3 linked regions of the Oryzias latipes genome follow. The protein of the gene in region 1 interacts with the protein of each later gene in a pairwise test. Links are inferred from orthologs where the notes say so. Each region holds a gene or a part of one and is shown in the gene's direction. Other genes may lie near its edges.

Evidence for each region. The genes of interacting proteins can lie anywhere in the genome.
Region 2: the proteins of DNA-binding protein inhibitor ID-1 (region 1) and myf5 interact in binary tests that used the Homo sapiens proteins (3 or more experiments, as listed by UniProt). The link is inferred for Oryzias latipes from reciprocal best matches to the Homo sapiens genes ID1 and MYF5.
Region 3: the proteins of DNA-binding protein inhibitor ID-1 (region 1) and myod1 interact in a two-hybrid assay, tested with the Homo sapiens proteins (5 studies listed by BioGRID). The link is inferred for Oryzias latipes from reciprocal best matches to the Homo sapiens genes ID1 and MYOD1.

What each region holds. Positions count from the first base shown.
Region 1 is NC_019863.2:26,015,600-26,019,749, reverse strand, and holds DNA-binding protein inhibitor ID-1, read left to right. Parts: upstream 1-2,149; 5' UTR 2,150-2,154; coding exon 2,155-2,598; intron 2,599-2,799; coding exon 2,800-2,835; 3' UTR 2,836-3,317; downstream 3,318-4,150. UniProt on the Homo sapiens protein: Transcriptional regulator (lacking a basic DNA binding domain) which negatively regulates the basic helix-loop-helix (bHLH) transcription factors by forming heterodimers and inhibiting their DNA binding and transcriptional activity.
Region 2 is NC_019881.2:19,172,655-19,177,694, reverse strand, and holds myf5 (myogenic factor 5), read left to right. Parts: upstream 1-2,008; 5' UTR 2,009-2,283; coding exon 2,284-2,736; intron 2,737-3,391; coding exon 3,392-3,464; intron 3,465-3,572; coding exon 3,573-3,769; 3' UTR 3,770-4,030; downstream 4,031-5,040.
Region 3 is NC_019864.2:6,432,240-6,437,801, reverse strand, and holds the start of myod1 (myoblast determination protein 1), read left to right. Parts: upstream 1-2,252; 5' UTR 2,253-2,455; coding exon 2,456-3,043; intron 3,044-3,727; coding exon 3,728-3,809; intron 3,810-5,011; coding exon 5,012-5,235; 3' UTR 5,236-5,562. UniProt on the Homo sapiens protein: Acts as a transcriptional activator that promotes transcription of muscle-specific target genes and plays a role in muscle differentiation. Together with MYF5 and MYOG, co-occupies muscle-specific gene promoter core region during myogenesis.

The sequences.
Region 1 (4,150 bases):
CTTCATTTGACAGAACTTAAGAAAATGACATGCTTGAAAAGGAGATTGGGCAGAGACTGCAGCTTAAGCCTACTCCTTTAAGTCCCACTCCAATCATCTTTTGATCTATTTTAAAAGCTTTCCCAGTGGACTTTTCATTATGATGGTGCTATTTTAGCAACATTTTAAAAATAAACTGTTGTTTTTCATTGACGTACTTTGTGCAGAGTGGCCATAGTTCATTGGAATTTTGTCTGTATGTTGGTATGGAGTAAGCCTGACCTAGTTTACCATCATTCTTTTTTTTAAACTTCTCTCGCTAGCTTACAGTCCCTCACAACCTCAAAACAACACTAGCAGTGCAACAACAATGGTGAGACATATAGGAGCTAGCAAGCTGTACAGTTTTGATCCAGATTCCAGCAAAGACAAGGAAAACAAAAACGTAACTGGATCAATTTGCCTGCAAGTGGACGCATCGGAATGAAACGGAGCAGGGAGCTTTTGGCTGTTGCACCTACTCTCGATTCACAAGTAAATTCAATAAGGAAATACTCTGAAACACAGCTTTAAGCTTAATTTTCTTTTTATATGTCCTCCATGGTGAGAAAATGCTACAAGAACATGGTATAAACACCAAAAACACGAGTTTAATCTAAATGAATCTTGAATTCCAATTCACCAAAACAACAAAAAAGACTTGAGAAAACACTTTAAGTGGAACCAAAATTATAGTTTTGGCATTGTTATATTCAAAAACAGTGATAAGTTATAGGTGTACTGAGCAAGAGGAAATATATATAAGAGATTGCTGTTATGCAAAAATATATCTTATTGAAGCTCTGCTATATATATACATTTTCTTTCTGTTAGGTTCTGTTAGAATATATACATATATGTAGTAAAATGTATGTTCAGATAAAGGGAAAAAAGTCCATACGATCTAATAGACTGCTTCAACAAAAAAAACAAAAAAAAGAGGGGCAGTAAGAAGTAAGGAGGAAATCCAGCTCTTTAGGGAATTAAAATGCTAAAAAGGAAACTGCATTCCTTGAGCCGAAAACGTATTTTTGGATATGAATGAGGCAATCTAAGTGAATATAAAAGCAAAGAAAATGCGTGTTTATGGAAACCACAGGGACTTCGAGAAGTGAAAGTATGGAGAGAAATTAGACTTTCTCTCCATATGAAAGTGGGCTGTTGGGAGGAATGTGATGGTTATTGGTTTTTAAACGTGGAAAGGACACGATGACCGGTCTTCATTTGTCGTAGCTGACCGGCTTTGGTTTCGCAGGTGCGCTGGCCGGTCATCTCACCCCGCTGCTGCTTTTAGGTGATAAATGGAGGAGGGGGAAAAACTCTGGAGACGGTTTGTTCTCAGGGCTCCGCGCGCCATGCAGGTGAATGGAGAAGTGCGCAGCGCTAGCTCCCTTGTTTGACATCTCCATGGAGACCGCCCTAGCGGCGCCAGGCTGACAGGCGTCAAGGCGCGGATGAATGGGTGACGTCAGCGCGCCGGCGCCTGCCAGTCTGCTCGGGCTTGTTTGGACAATCTGAAGGGGGAGCGACTCTGCGCGGGCGTGCGCACGAAGCCCAGCGCGCGCAGCAGACACATGTGGAGGAATCTGCTGCTGCAGCTGCGTCCCTGAAACATGCTTACGCACAAAGAGGCTCAATCTGAGCATTTGGGATCATTCTAAACTAAATAACGTGACAAATATTTTTTTGCCTGCTCTGTGTGACGCCACAGTGCTATTATCCCACGATCACGAGTGAAAGACACATCTAGGGCACCATAGTAGCCAAATTGTCATTAAGCATTCATCCTTTTCAGCCCAGCTTCATCCCACACACATTCTCACAGTGCATCCCCATGCATTCACCACCCATTGACTGTCCCCGGGCAATCTACACCTGCAGAGTCCCCAAGCCATGGACAGCTGGATTCCCACATATTACTCATAAAAGACACACATTTGTTTCCATTTGTAACGCCATCCCTCAAACAGATTGTAAATTCCGATAACCAGCCGAGCGCCGTGGTTGGCTGAGAGTTTAGTTTTTTGCCGCCCCATCAATGCATATGCAGCCATGGGATTGGTCAGCTCCCTTCAAACAGGACGATCTGGACACACCCCCAGACGCTGCTGAGCTTTATAAAGAGACGGCTTCTCCATGTGGATGTTGAAAACTGTCAACATTGACCTGTGCAGTCGCTTTTCAAGACCAATATCTTCAGCGTCTGTGGAAGCTACGCTATTAAAGATGAAGGTTGTCGGATCTACCTGTGCCCTGAAGACCAAGGTCAGCGGAGAGATGGGCCTGTCCGACCAGAGCCTGGCCATCTCCAAGTGCAAGCTCCCGCTGCTGGACGAACAGATGAGCGTCTTTCTCCAGGACATGAACAGCTGCTACAGCAAGCTGAAGGAGCTCGTCCCGACGCTGCCCACAAACAAGAAAGCCAGCAAGGTGGAAATCTTGCAGCACGTCATCGACTACATCTGGGACCTGCAGATCGAGTTGGACGAGCCGGAGAAGAGTCGCCAGCTCTCGGCGGCCAGCGGCCAGCGCACGCCGCTGACCACACTGAACGCAGAGCTCGCGAGCATCGCAGTGGAGGTAAATAGCCCACTTTAAGTGTCTTTTGGGGTCTCACACAGAGACACGCGCCATTTGTGACTCATTCATGCATTTAAAACGTGTGCGTAAAAGTGACCAGTCAGTCTAGTGCGTAAAAAGTGCCGATTTACGCATGACAGTAATCGTTGCTCATCTGTGACCAGCTCTTTCTGACCCACTTTTTTTTTTCTCCTCCCGCAGAACGGCTGCTCAGACGAGAGAATCATGTGCCGTTAAGGGTCCGCGGAGCACCCCCCAACCCCCATCATTCCAGAGAGGACAAGACAACCTGATGCAGCGGCCAGAGCACATCGGCCTCTAGAGTCTTGAACTGTGAGGGAGAGTTTGAAACTCCTACAGCTAGAGAAATAAAATCATCGAGAGGACATGCTTCAAGAGTGACGGGGTCTCGATTCATCCGAGAGCTCCGATGTGAGGACCGGCGTGTGTCCAGATATAGACTGGGTTAGTCGTGGGACCAAGACAAGCTCAGAGAGCAACCAGCTTGTTGCTCGTAGTTTCATAATGACTTTGTTAAGCCCTTTGTATTTGTGTAAATCAAATAGAGAATTCAACATTCTGTAAAAAAAAAGTAATTTCTCAGATTCCTGAGCGACAAAACTGTATTGTATATTACAATGCCACAATATGTGAAGATATTGTTTTCTTACAATGTACTTTGTGTTTTTATTAAAACAAGACTTATTTTTGAACAAGAATCCTCCTGAGTGTGTGTTTTAACGAGAACGAAAGTGAAAAGTCCTCACAAAGTTTGAAGGGCGGATTTATCTTCACACATACCTTTGCGGTGGAAAAACTCTACTTCAGTGCCTGTTTTACAGCCTCATTACTAAGTTTAAACGCAGGTCTGCTAATGTTCCTCCGAGGAAATAAGGCTTATCTGATCCTGGTCAGGGTAAACAGATTGTCACTAAAAGGTTTGGCAGCCCCAGAAACTAAAGTCATTCAGGTGACGTCAAACCGCAACTGCTGGGAAACACAATTGGCAAAAAGTCTGTTTAATTAGACGATAAACCATTTGTTATCCACAATACAACAGGAAGTTTTTCAGTTGGTAGCTTGATGAAAAGCATAAAACTTGATCATCTGAGTGATTCCACGTGCGCTCTGCGCATGAATCAGTAAAATCCATGCGTAAACATCATAGATAAAGGTTTGTATTGTGTGTAGAAGGTGGGTTACACGTTTCACAAAGTTTTCTGGTATTTCAGAGTGTCGTCGTGTGCATAGGCACCTCTCGTCTCTCTCGGCACCTCGGGGGTTAAAAAGGCTTTGGCAAAGCGATGCGTTTTAAGATTTATCCCTTCTCCCTGGTGCAATGTTTTTCCCATTTCCCTGCGGTGCGATGCGCACAGCTGCAGCCCCGGCGTGGCCAGTGTGTGATTGTGTTTGTGTGATAGCTTTGTGCCAAGGGCAGGGGAGGGCGGCGGGGCCCAGACTGAGCGGCGCCTCGGCACACCTGGGGAAGTTCAGGTTAAATAGCTCCACATTCCTCAACACACAGCTGATTGAAACATTAACAAACAGTAAT
Region 2 (5,040 bases), on another chromosome or scaffold:
CATCCGCATTGTATCCATGTGAGCTGTCACCAACCGAATCACCCGGTGGAGAAGCGACCGGAAGAGAATCTTCAGCTCAGAGTTCAAAGTTGTAAACTGGATTATAAACATATTTCCTAAGGAAAAAAAGAAAATATGTCATGTTTACATTATATTTAAACACAACTTACCTGTATTAACCATTGCAAAAAGTGGTCTATTTAAGTGTACTACAAGTATACCTATGTACTAAAAGTGAGGCAGTATACTTAAAGTTTAGTTTTTCATACAATCTAAAGAAGAATTCAATTGTATACTTTCTACACTACGAGTATGGGGTCTGTAGTAGACCTTCACTGATACTGAAGTATCCTTAAAAAAATGAACTTCAGGTGTAAAACTTTTAGCTAATCGATCGATTGATATGGAGATCTATCTATCTATCTATCTATCTATCTATCTATCTATCTATCTATCTATCTATCTATCTATCTATCTATCTATCTATCTATCTATCTATCTATCTATCTATCTATCTATCTATCTATCTATCTATCTATCTATCTATCTATCTATCTATCTATCTATCTATCTATCTATCTATCTATCTATCTATCTATCTATCTATCTATCTATCTATCTATCTATCTATCTATCTATCTATCTATCTATCTATCTATCTATCTATCTATCTATCTGTCTATCTGTCTGTCTGTCTGTCTGTCTGTCTGTCTGTCTGTCTGTCTGTCTGTCTGTCTGTCTGTCTGTCTGTCTGTCTGTCTGTCTGTCTGTCTGTCTGTCTGTCTGTCTGTCTGTCTGTCTGTCTGTCCGTCCGTAAGTCTGTCCGTCCGTCCGTCCGTCCGTCCGTCTATCTATCTAACTATCATGAATAATTATTTTGCCCTAAGCAGAAGGTAGTATACTAGAGGGTGGTTAAGCAAACCCGAGTACAGCATGTATACTATAGACCATGTATGTGTGTTTAGGACGTATTCTAACTGAATACTTCTTAAGACAAAATAAAAAATCTAAACTTTGTATGTCTGAGATTTATGTACTGCAGAGTAGAACCCTGCTGAAAAAACCTGTTTTACAGTAAGTAGAGTGTAATAAATTGTATTTTAATATTTTCTTGCTTATCAAATCAAATCATTTTGAAAACCAAATCAATATTTATTTAATTGGCATATTACATTTCTAATATAGTACAAAGTGATGTACACCAAAAATAGATAACATAACTCAAGCTTGTAGTTCTTTCACAGTAAAATGACTACTTTTGGGTAACACCAACGGAAAAAAGGAACAACATCTATATTGCTGTTTCAAACAAACATGGTGGTTTGTTAACATGATTTATATTTTAAAAGCTAAAATTTGAAAAATCGTGTGAGTGTTTAGTACAAGAAGTATGTAAATAAATCCAGATGGTGCTTAATATTCCTCTAAATGTAGCCGATCAGATGCATTTCACCTCATTTTAAAGGTTAGAAATACATCCAACTAAAGTTTGGAAGACTTCCATTAATATCAATTTATTTTTATGTGAACAGTTATTTGTGAATATAAGTCAGGAGTTCTGCCTGAAGGAGGAACCCTCCTTAAACTTGCTCTTTTTTTCAGCTGCTGCAGCATCCTGACCATCTGTGTCCCAAACTGACCGGCAGCAATAACCTTTAATGGTTCAAATTTGGTCCTTGGAGGTTGGTGTCGTTTGTGTTTGGGGCCCAGCGATGGCTTCACCCCGAATGATGGGGTTTGGGTGTTTAGAGGGGCTTTGCCGCCATTCTAAGTTCACGGGGCTTGAAATGTTACACCTTTCTTTGCAGCTGGGGTGCATCTGCAACGCTGTCGTCGGTGCCGTAAAAAGCGGCCCGCGCGCTCCAGAGAGTGGTCCGGACATTTTTCCCAGGCAATTTGCCTTCGCCGTCTTCATTCGGGGTGTCACAGCGAAAGGTGGTGCAGAGGCGTCTTCAATACACCATCTTCGCTGAAGAAGAGCAAGCAGGAGAATACAGGGATGAGTAGGAAAACACCAGTGATTGCAGATGTGGGAAACTCGGCAGGGTACTGGGGGGTGAGAAGTAGGGACGGGGCAGGGAGGGAGCTGAACTAACTTCAGGCTGGGCCAATGGGCCATGGTAATTAGATCTGGCCAATGTGGGCCCTGGGCTTCAGCCAGGGGACATATAAGGGGGGCCTGGGGCAACAGACCCCTCATATCACTCAGAAGTCTCCTCTCTTTCATCCAGCACCTCCTTCCTTCCCTTTTGGCCATCTTGCCATCCACTTCTTCTCCCAGCCATGGATGTTTTTTCTCCATCCCAGGCCTTCTACGACAGAGCTTGTGCTTTGTCCCCAGACGACCTGGAGTTCGGCTCCAGCCTAGAGCTCACCGGCTCTGAGGAGGACGAGCACGTCAGGGTTCCCGGAGCCCCCCACCAGCCGGGACACTGCCTCCAGTGGGCCTGCAAGGCCTGCAAGCGCAAATCCAGCTTTGTGGACCGCAGACGGGCGGCCACCATGCGGGAGCGCCGGCGGCTCAAAAAGGTCAACCACGCCTTTGAAGCACTGAGGCGCTGCACCTCGGCCAACCCAAGCCAGCGCCTTCCCAAGGTGGAGATCCTGCGCAACGCCATCCAGTACATCGAAAGCCTGCAGGAGCTGCTGCGGGAGCAGGTGGAGAACTTTTACGGCCTGCCTGGAGAGAGCAGCTCTGAGCCTGGAAGTCCTCTGTCGAGCTGCTCCGATGGCATGGTAAGGCATGTTCAAACATCTACAGAAGCTCTGACTTAGCCTGCATGGATGCCGACCACTTAAGACTCAAACACCTAAAATCGATTTGGGATCTTTTTCATGCAGCGTTTCTTCTTTTCATTCATTTTGCAGCCTCAGCTTGGTCATTTTCTTGTGTTTGTTTCCGTTCATTAGCACCCATCAGTGTGATCAGACAATAACGCGACCCATTCTGATGCTCTCTGGGCGCTTTATAGCCTCAATAAACCAAAGAAAATCCAGCTTATGAAGTCTGGCAGGGAAAAGCGGGCGCACTCCTGCATTCCATCCTGACTGCATGTTCGGCGCCGCTGCCAGGATTTTCTGCAGATTTACTCGCAGAAAGTGTCATCTTGCACAAACTGGTGTTGCTTCCACTGACAGAATCAATTCGCCACAGTCGGAACTGGGCATGGAAAAGCGAGGGGGTGAGGGGGGGGCTTTGACTTTAAGGTGAAATAAAGAAGCCAATAACTTTGGAATTCAGGATTTATAAGCCTGTCCAGAATATTAAAGGAGGTTGGAAGCTTTTGTGTTTCCACTGCATCTTCATTTTTGTGTGTCAGCAACCGTTGTGTGTGTGTTTCTGTGTTTTCAAAAGTTCAAGGACAGTTCTTCATTTCTTGTGCCCTTCCAGGCAGGAGGCAGCAGTCCGGTGTGGCAACAGCTGAATGCAAACTACAGCAGCAGCTATTCTTATACAAAGAATGGTAAGACTTTCTGACAGCAGCTGCAGTCTGACATGTGCTGCTTTAAGGGGAATTCATGGAGATCCGTGTATGCAGAGAGAACCTGACTGAGCATCTTTTTTATTCCAGAGAGTTTGGACAACAAGACAGCCGGCGCCTCCAGCCTGGAGTGCCTGTCGAGCATTGTTGACCGCCTGTCCTCCGTGGAGTCCAGCGGTGGACCGGCTGCCCTGAGGGACGCCGCAACCTTCTCCCCCAGCAGCTCCGACTCTCAGCCCTGCACTCCTGAGAACTCTGGATCCAGACCCGTCTACCACGTCCTGTGAAAAACGGTTCTCTCTGAGGAGAAAATATGACCATGCCAGTCGGGAAGAACTTATTCTGCGTGAGAACGACTCGCCGGATGTGCGGCAACCTTCAATAAATGCACAAGAACTGTAAATATGTAAAATATGTTCCATTTATGCTGTTATACCCACTGACGCATATTTAATGTAACAGTACATTATTCAGAAATGTCATATTTAAGCCGTTTTGTTGCTCTTTACATGTCATGTCATCATTAAATTTCGTTTTTTTAATACAAATTTCAAAGTTTGTTCTTTCAGCCGAGCCTGGCAGCTAATCAGAGAAACAGGCTGATGCAAGGCGGCGGCGGTCTGGCTTTGAAAATACTAAATTACTGATTGAAGATAGCTGAGTCGTTGGAGCGCTAAGGCAGACTCACAGGTGGAGGCTGTTTATCCCGAGCTGCAGCTAACAGGGCGGAGGGGGCGCATTGGAGGTCACATGATGTCACCCATCAATCTAAAGAAATGGCTGGTGCTGAGGAGCTTGGCGTTATCTTTTTTTAAATATGTCCTTTCAATTGGAAAAATGCCATCAAAACAAGTAAAATATTTGGAAAAAAAAGACGTTTTTCTCTTGTGATAAGTTAAAAAAAAAGCCAATAGAACTGGTCGAATTTGTTTTGGTAAATTGTTTTTGAAACATTGTGCGTTGTCCTGCCCTTTTGAAATGAAATTCTAAACGTTTAAATTACGGTATTTTGCTCTGACAAGTAGAAATGTGTCTTATGATAAGTGTCTATTGATCAAAAAAGAGTTTTATATCTTTAATCCTCAGTGGTTCAGGGCCTTTTTGAGTATTTTTTTACTCTACAATTTGCTCTTAGTATTGACTTTTAATCTATTGATGGAAATATACATCAAAGCCTTTCGATTCTAAAATTACCCTAATCTACTCGAAAGCAAAAACATGAGTAAACTTTTCGTTTTTCATAGTTGGAAATAAATTCAGGTGTGAAAGGGTCAAATCACATTATTGAGCCGATCTTTGTTTGCAAAACCTCAGCTTCTTTTGTAAAAAAAATAAATATATTTATTTCAAAATGTTACGCAATACACCTTAAATGGTACAAAAAACTAAATTCTAAGTAGAAAAAGACTGTCTTTTTTATGCAAAACTTGAGAATAAAATAAAATAACTGAAGATTTTCAAGATTTCTTGACTTCAAACAAGTCGTTCCATTTTACTGAAAAGGCACTTATCAAGTAGAAAAGGACTTTGTAGAAGTAGAAACCGGACAAAATGGTGA
Region 3 (5,562 bases), on another chromosome or scaffold:
TTATTAAGTAATATTTATGCCACCTTATTGCAAACAAAGCTTTCTAAGTTGCAAATGAAAATATTAAATGTTTGCTTTCAAATACTTTTTGGTTTCGCTTTCTTTTTTTTGCTTTTAAAAATGTCTCGCGTTTTCAGTTTAGTGTGACATATGGCAGCTATGTCACGCTAAGCTGAAACCTATGACACGCAAAAAAATTTTTTGAAAGCAAAGAAAAAGTATGTGAAAGCAAATATTTAATATTTTCATTTGCAGCTTAGAAAGTTTTGTTTGCTATGTGGTGGCGTAAATATAACTTGATAGACATTTGGAATTTCTAAATGCCAAATATTTAGTCTTTTCTTCGGCTTGCACATCTTTACTTTTATTCCGGATTGTGTTGATTCGCTTCAAACTTGTTTAATAAGAGCAAGATAAAAATATAAATAATTAAAAGTTGAATTGTAAACAGCTGGTTTTGTTTTTTTGTTTTTTTGCACGTTTTATCTGGAAGGAATAAATAACATACATATCATACACATGTATGAATAACAACTTTTTTTTTACACTTATTCATCTTATATGCTTCATTCTGACTGAAATAAAGCAACAAAAACCAAAAAAGTCTTTTGGGAGCTGAGAGGCTCTTTTTAGTGAGCCGATCCAGGATTCCCATCACAACAATGAGCCCACACTGGCAACAATGTCTGGTCTTAACAAACAGCTCGACTGCTGACAGTCAATGTGCTCGACATGTGATGACGTAACCACGCCTACTAGAGTCCCTGCTGAGCGACGCTTCTGGGTAAAAAAATTGATGTCAAGAGGAGGAGTCAAGCTGGATATCTGTAATCTGGGTTGTTGAACTCCATAACAGAGCTAGAAAGTTCTCTTATGTTTTACCCTAAATGTAAGGATTTAAAAAATAAAATACAACCGTTGTTATTCGCCAGGGGCCTCCGAACTCTAAAGTCCGCCACTGACGACAACATTTACCCTGAGACGCAATGCGAATGTGTGGGGGGGATCAACACCACAATGTGTCTCTTGGCCGCACATATTAAGTGTTTTTCTGTCTGGTCCTACGTAAATATGTGCAAATAACAAAAAGAAAAGTAGATTTTGAAAATTATTAAGATCATTTCTGAGTAGAATTGATGTGAATACATGAAAACCAAAGCACAGAGACACTCAGTTAGCATTATTTTCACAACTATTGTTGTAGTTTAGAATAAATACCGACTTTTTGAATATGGGAAAGCAAAACCTTTTTTTCATGCCATTTTTCTCCATTAAAACAACAACTTTGTGGTGTTTTTTAAAAAAAAAAGAGACTTCATTTGTTTTTCAAAATAGCTCTAAAAACAACCAAAGCTCGTCTTGCATTGCCAGCTTTTCACACATTTCTTGCTGCTCATTAAATGTTCTGCTGACAGTCTTTTCTTTCAGTGCAAACATTTCATTTGTCTCTGACATTCTGAATTGCCTCATTTTTCCTACTTACAATGAAAACAAAAAAAAGAGTGGTGTGTGCGCATGTGAAGGTGCGTTCCAGAGCGCGCTCCACGCAGTTTCATGAACACTCATTCGGTGTACAGACCGGACGGACCAGCGCCAGACACGCAGGTACCTGCAGGGGCGGTTCTTCTTTTCATCAGCGCTCCTCCGCCACCTACAATATATTTATTGTAATTAAATCAACTTATTGGAAGAGGTTCGATCTGCAAAATCAAAGCGGTTCAATTCCCTCAAATCTTGCTCCAGCCTTTTTGTTTTCACAGATCTGTTCCTATAAATGTCCATCTTGGTGTCATTTTATTCCGGCCAAAAACAAACCGCAATTATTCATTTCTCCTTAGTGATCATGTTTACAACGGTTGATAACTGTTTCTTGAAAAGACGCTACAAACACTATCAAATCCTAATTTCTGATTGGTCACAGCGCTGCGTTGCTGAGATTCAGCGTGAAAAAGTTCAACCGGTTGAACTTTCAGCGCGCGACCAACGAACGCTTGATTTGTTTGTAGGCTCCGCACCCAACTTAAAAACCTGCTGGTGATGTGCGACCGCTAGCCTTCCAGACGCCACAGCCCCAAATTCTGGTGTGTGCGCATTCAAAGAGGCGCTTGAACACGGGTGTGTAAGGCGGAAATGCGTGTGCGGCCTTCCTTTAGCTGTTCCGTTAACTGCAGGCCTCTAATTACCGTGCAGTTGTAACCCCTCCACTTACACACACGCACACCCCTGCAGCTGCCCACCGATTGGTCACACTCCTCTGACCCCTTGGCCCCCCTGCCTGCTGCTGATGTGCCAGGTATAAGAGGCTTCAGGTCAGCAGTAGTCCAGTTCAAAACTCCTGACAGGACCCACATTACCGGACCCGCGGATCGCGAGTCTCTCTTCGGTTTGCTGGATAGCTCGGCTCGGCCCGTTGATCTCAGTATTTCTTTTCTGCGGGCCTGTTTTGGACCGGGTCATGGAGCTGTCGGATATTCCTTTCCCCATCCCGGCTGCTGATGATTTCTATGATGACCCCTGTTTTAACACAAGTGACATGCACTTCTTCGAGGACCTAGACCCACGGCTAGTCCATGGCGGTCTGCTGAAGCCGGATGACTCCTCTTCTTCCCCCTCATCCTCTCCTTGCTCGTCCTCCTCCTCCCCGTCCTCCGTCCTCCATGTGCACCAGCGCGCGGAGGTGGAGGACGATGAGCACGTCCGTGCGCCCAGTGGCCACCACCAGGCGGGCCGCTGCCTGCTGTGGGCCTGCAAAGCCTGCAAGCGGAAAACCACCAACGCAGACAGACGCAAGGCAGCGACGCTGCGCGAGCGCCGGCGCCTCAGCAAGGTCAATGACGCCTTCGAAACGCTGAAGCGCTGCACGTCAGCCAACCCCAACCAGAGGCTGCCCAAGGTGGAGATCCTGCGCAACGCCATCAGCTACATCGAGTCCCTGCAGGCGCTGCTGCGCGCCGGCCAGGAGGATGGCTTCTACCCGGTGTTGGAGCACTACAGCGGGGACTCGGACGCGTCCAGCCCCCGCTCCAACTGCTCTGACGGAATGGTGAGTCCGCTGTTCGGACAAGCTGCGAAGGCTGGAGCTACAGCGCGTCTTTACGCATGGAGTCTTGACTTAGTTAGTCGTTTCATGACGGCACAAGTTTTTACAAAACTTCAGTAAAAAAGAAAAGAAAAAGGAAAGGCAACTTTCACCGTTTTAGATTCGATTATACAGGCGCGTTACTCAGTTAATTCAGAGGATTACCAGTTACTACCTCTCCCGAAAATAAGATTTTTAAACGTAAAACCTTTTCTTTTTTTTTTTTAATCGTGAAAATCTTTTTTACGTATTTCTTGAATAGACTGACAGCGTCGTTTGGAGCAGTTCGCTGCTTGAATAAAAATCGGTTATAATTTGCACCAAACATCCGGATTTATTCAAACGAATTTCCTTCATAAAACATACGAGTCCCGTCATTAGGATTTCTATTATTTGACAAATTTCCTTTTATAACGCGTGCGAAACACTCAGGAAGATGAAATAATAATATTGTTGCTGCTGTTTTGTGCTTGTTTGTTCAAAGAAAGCCCATATATATATATATATATATTCCAGTTTAAAAATACACGAGTGTTTACTATCGGAAAATATCCCTTGTGTTGATATTTCAAAAATGTGACATTGTGTAAATTGTGTTTTATTTACTCTTTTGGCGTGCTCTAAAAAAAGCATTGTGTTTTATTCCAGACTGACTTTAATGGACCGAGGTGTCAGACGACGCAAAAGGGGAGTTATGACGGCGGCTCCTACTTCTCCGAGGCTCTGAACGGTGAGCTGCGCGCGGGCCAGAGGGGGCCGCGTCACGCGCCAACATTTTACACAGGAAAGATCCGATTTGCGCTTTAACCAGCCGACAGCATTGCTCATCTGAAATGATAAAGCGTTTGCAATCTAACTAAATCTGTTCATGAAGCCAAAGATGTGCTTTTATTTTTGCTAAATAAATTTAGTTTTCATGAGGTTAAAGAAAACAATGACATTCTCTATAAATTCTATAAATGAGAAAAAGGATATATATATAGATATATATCTATATCTATATTTACAGCTGAGCAAGTATGTCAGAGCTGAAGGCCTCTTGTGTTGGACAAATTTTACTTTTACAACAGGACTTTATGGATCTTTAGACAAACACAATTTATTTAGGGGTTAATATCCTTCAAAGGGTGCATTATTAACGCTTGCCGTGTAAGCCTGCGTTGAACTGCAAAGTGCATTAAAAATATGAACACTTTGAAGTAAATCTACTCACTTATACCATGGTGACTTTCAAAATAAATAAATAGTCAACCAGTACTTTATTCTGGTCATTTTTACGGTTTAGATTGCTTTTTCACAAAAGCGAACTATTTGTCATGCGGTGCAGCCTGTTGTCACAGTAACATGCCACTTAGCCAACCTCGAGTGGTGCGGCAAAGGAAAGTGATATCTATGCTGATGATCACGATGGGTTGAATAAAGCATCAGTTCAGAGAGAAAGTTCTCCTGTCACTGATCATTTTTGTCCAGATGATGAAGCTAAAGATTCTGATACAGAACATTTAAGATATGTGACCGGAACTGCTTTTTAGATGTACATTAACACATTTTTATCCACACCCAGCAGCCAATCAGAATCGAGTATTTCCCTGGACAATGGTATCAATTGGTGTAAACCCCTTATGTATTTGAGGTTAGGCTTTATTCATAATAATTATGTTTATATGCATTCTTTGTTGGACCGGACGGAAAACAAGAAGAGAGAGAGTGGATGTTAGAGATGGGGGGTGGGGGAGCAGTGGATAATACAGAGTCAAGAGTGTCATAAGTAAACTGCATGACTTGGTTCTCACACACACACACACACACCCACACACACACACACCAATAAATAGTCTGCACACAGCTGTTTACAGGTTTTATTCACACATAGAGGAGTGACCTCACAGTCTAGTTTGAATCATGTTTGACTGACGGTGTTTTCTGCCGTAGGAGGCCACAGGAATGACCGCAGCTCCGTCGTCTCCAGTCTGGACTGCCTGTCCAGCATTGTGGAGCGGATCTCCACCGACAGCAGCTGCCTCCCAGCCACGGCCGATGCTCCTGCCTCCCCGGCCGCCGCTGCGCTCAGTGAGACAGAGCGCGGCCCTCGGGCCGCTCCGACCTCTTCTCCGGCCTCCAGCCAAGACCCGAACCTGATCTATCAGGATCTATAGACCCTGACACCCTTGATGAACAGCAATGCTGTGGCACCGTGTGGAAATGAGCTCACAGACATGGAAACTGTTTAATTAGTTTGGCTCTGCAGATTCTTTTTAACATTTTCAAAACTTCTGTGGTCTTCTTAACCTTTAGAGGCTCATTCCTGCCAGGAAAATAGTATTTGTTTTTTGTTCGTTTTTTTGTTCAGTCTTCTTTTTTCCTGAATTGATATCTTATCAGTTTCAAACAACACGCACTGATGAAAAACATGAAATGTGGATTTGTAAAAAATGAAAAATGTCTTAATGAAGTCTTTATTTTAAAAAGGGAGTTAAAAGGGG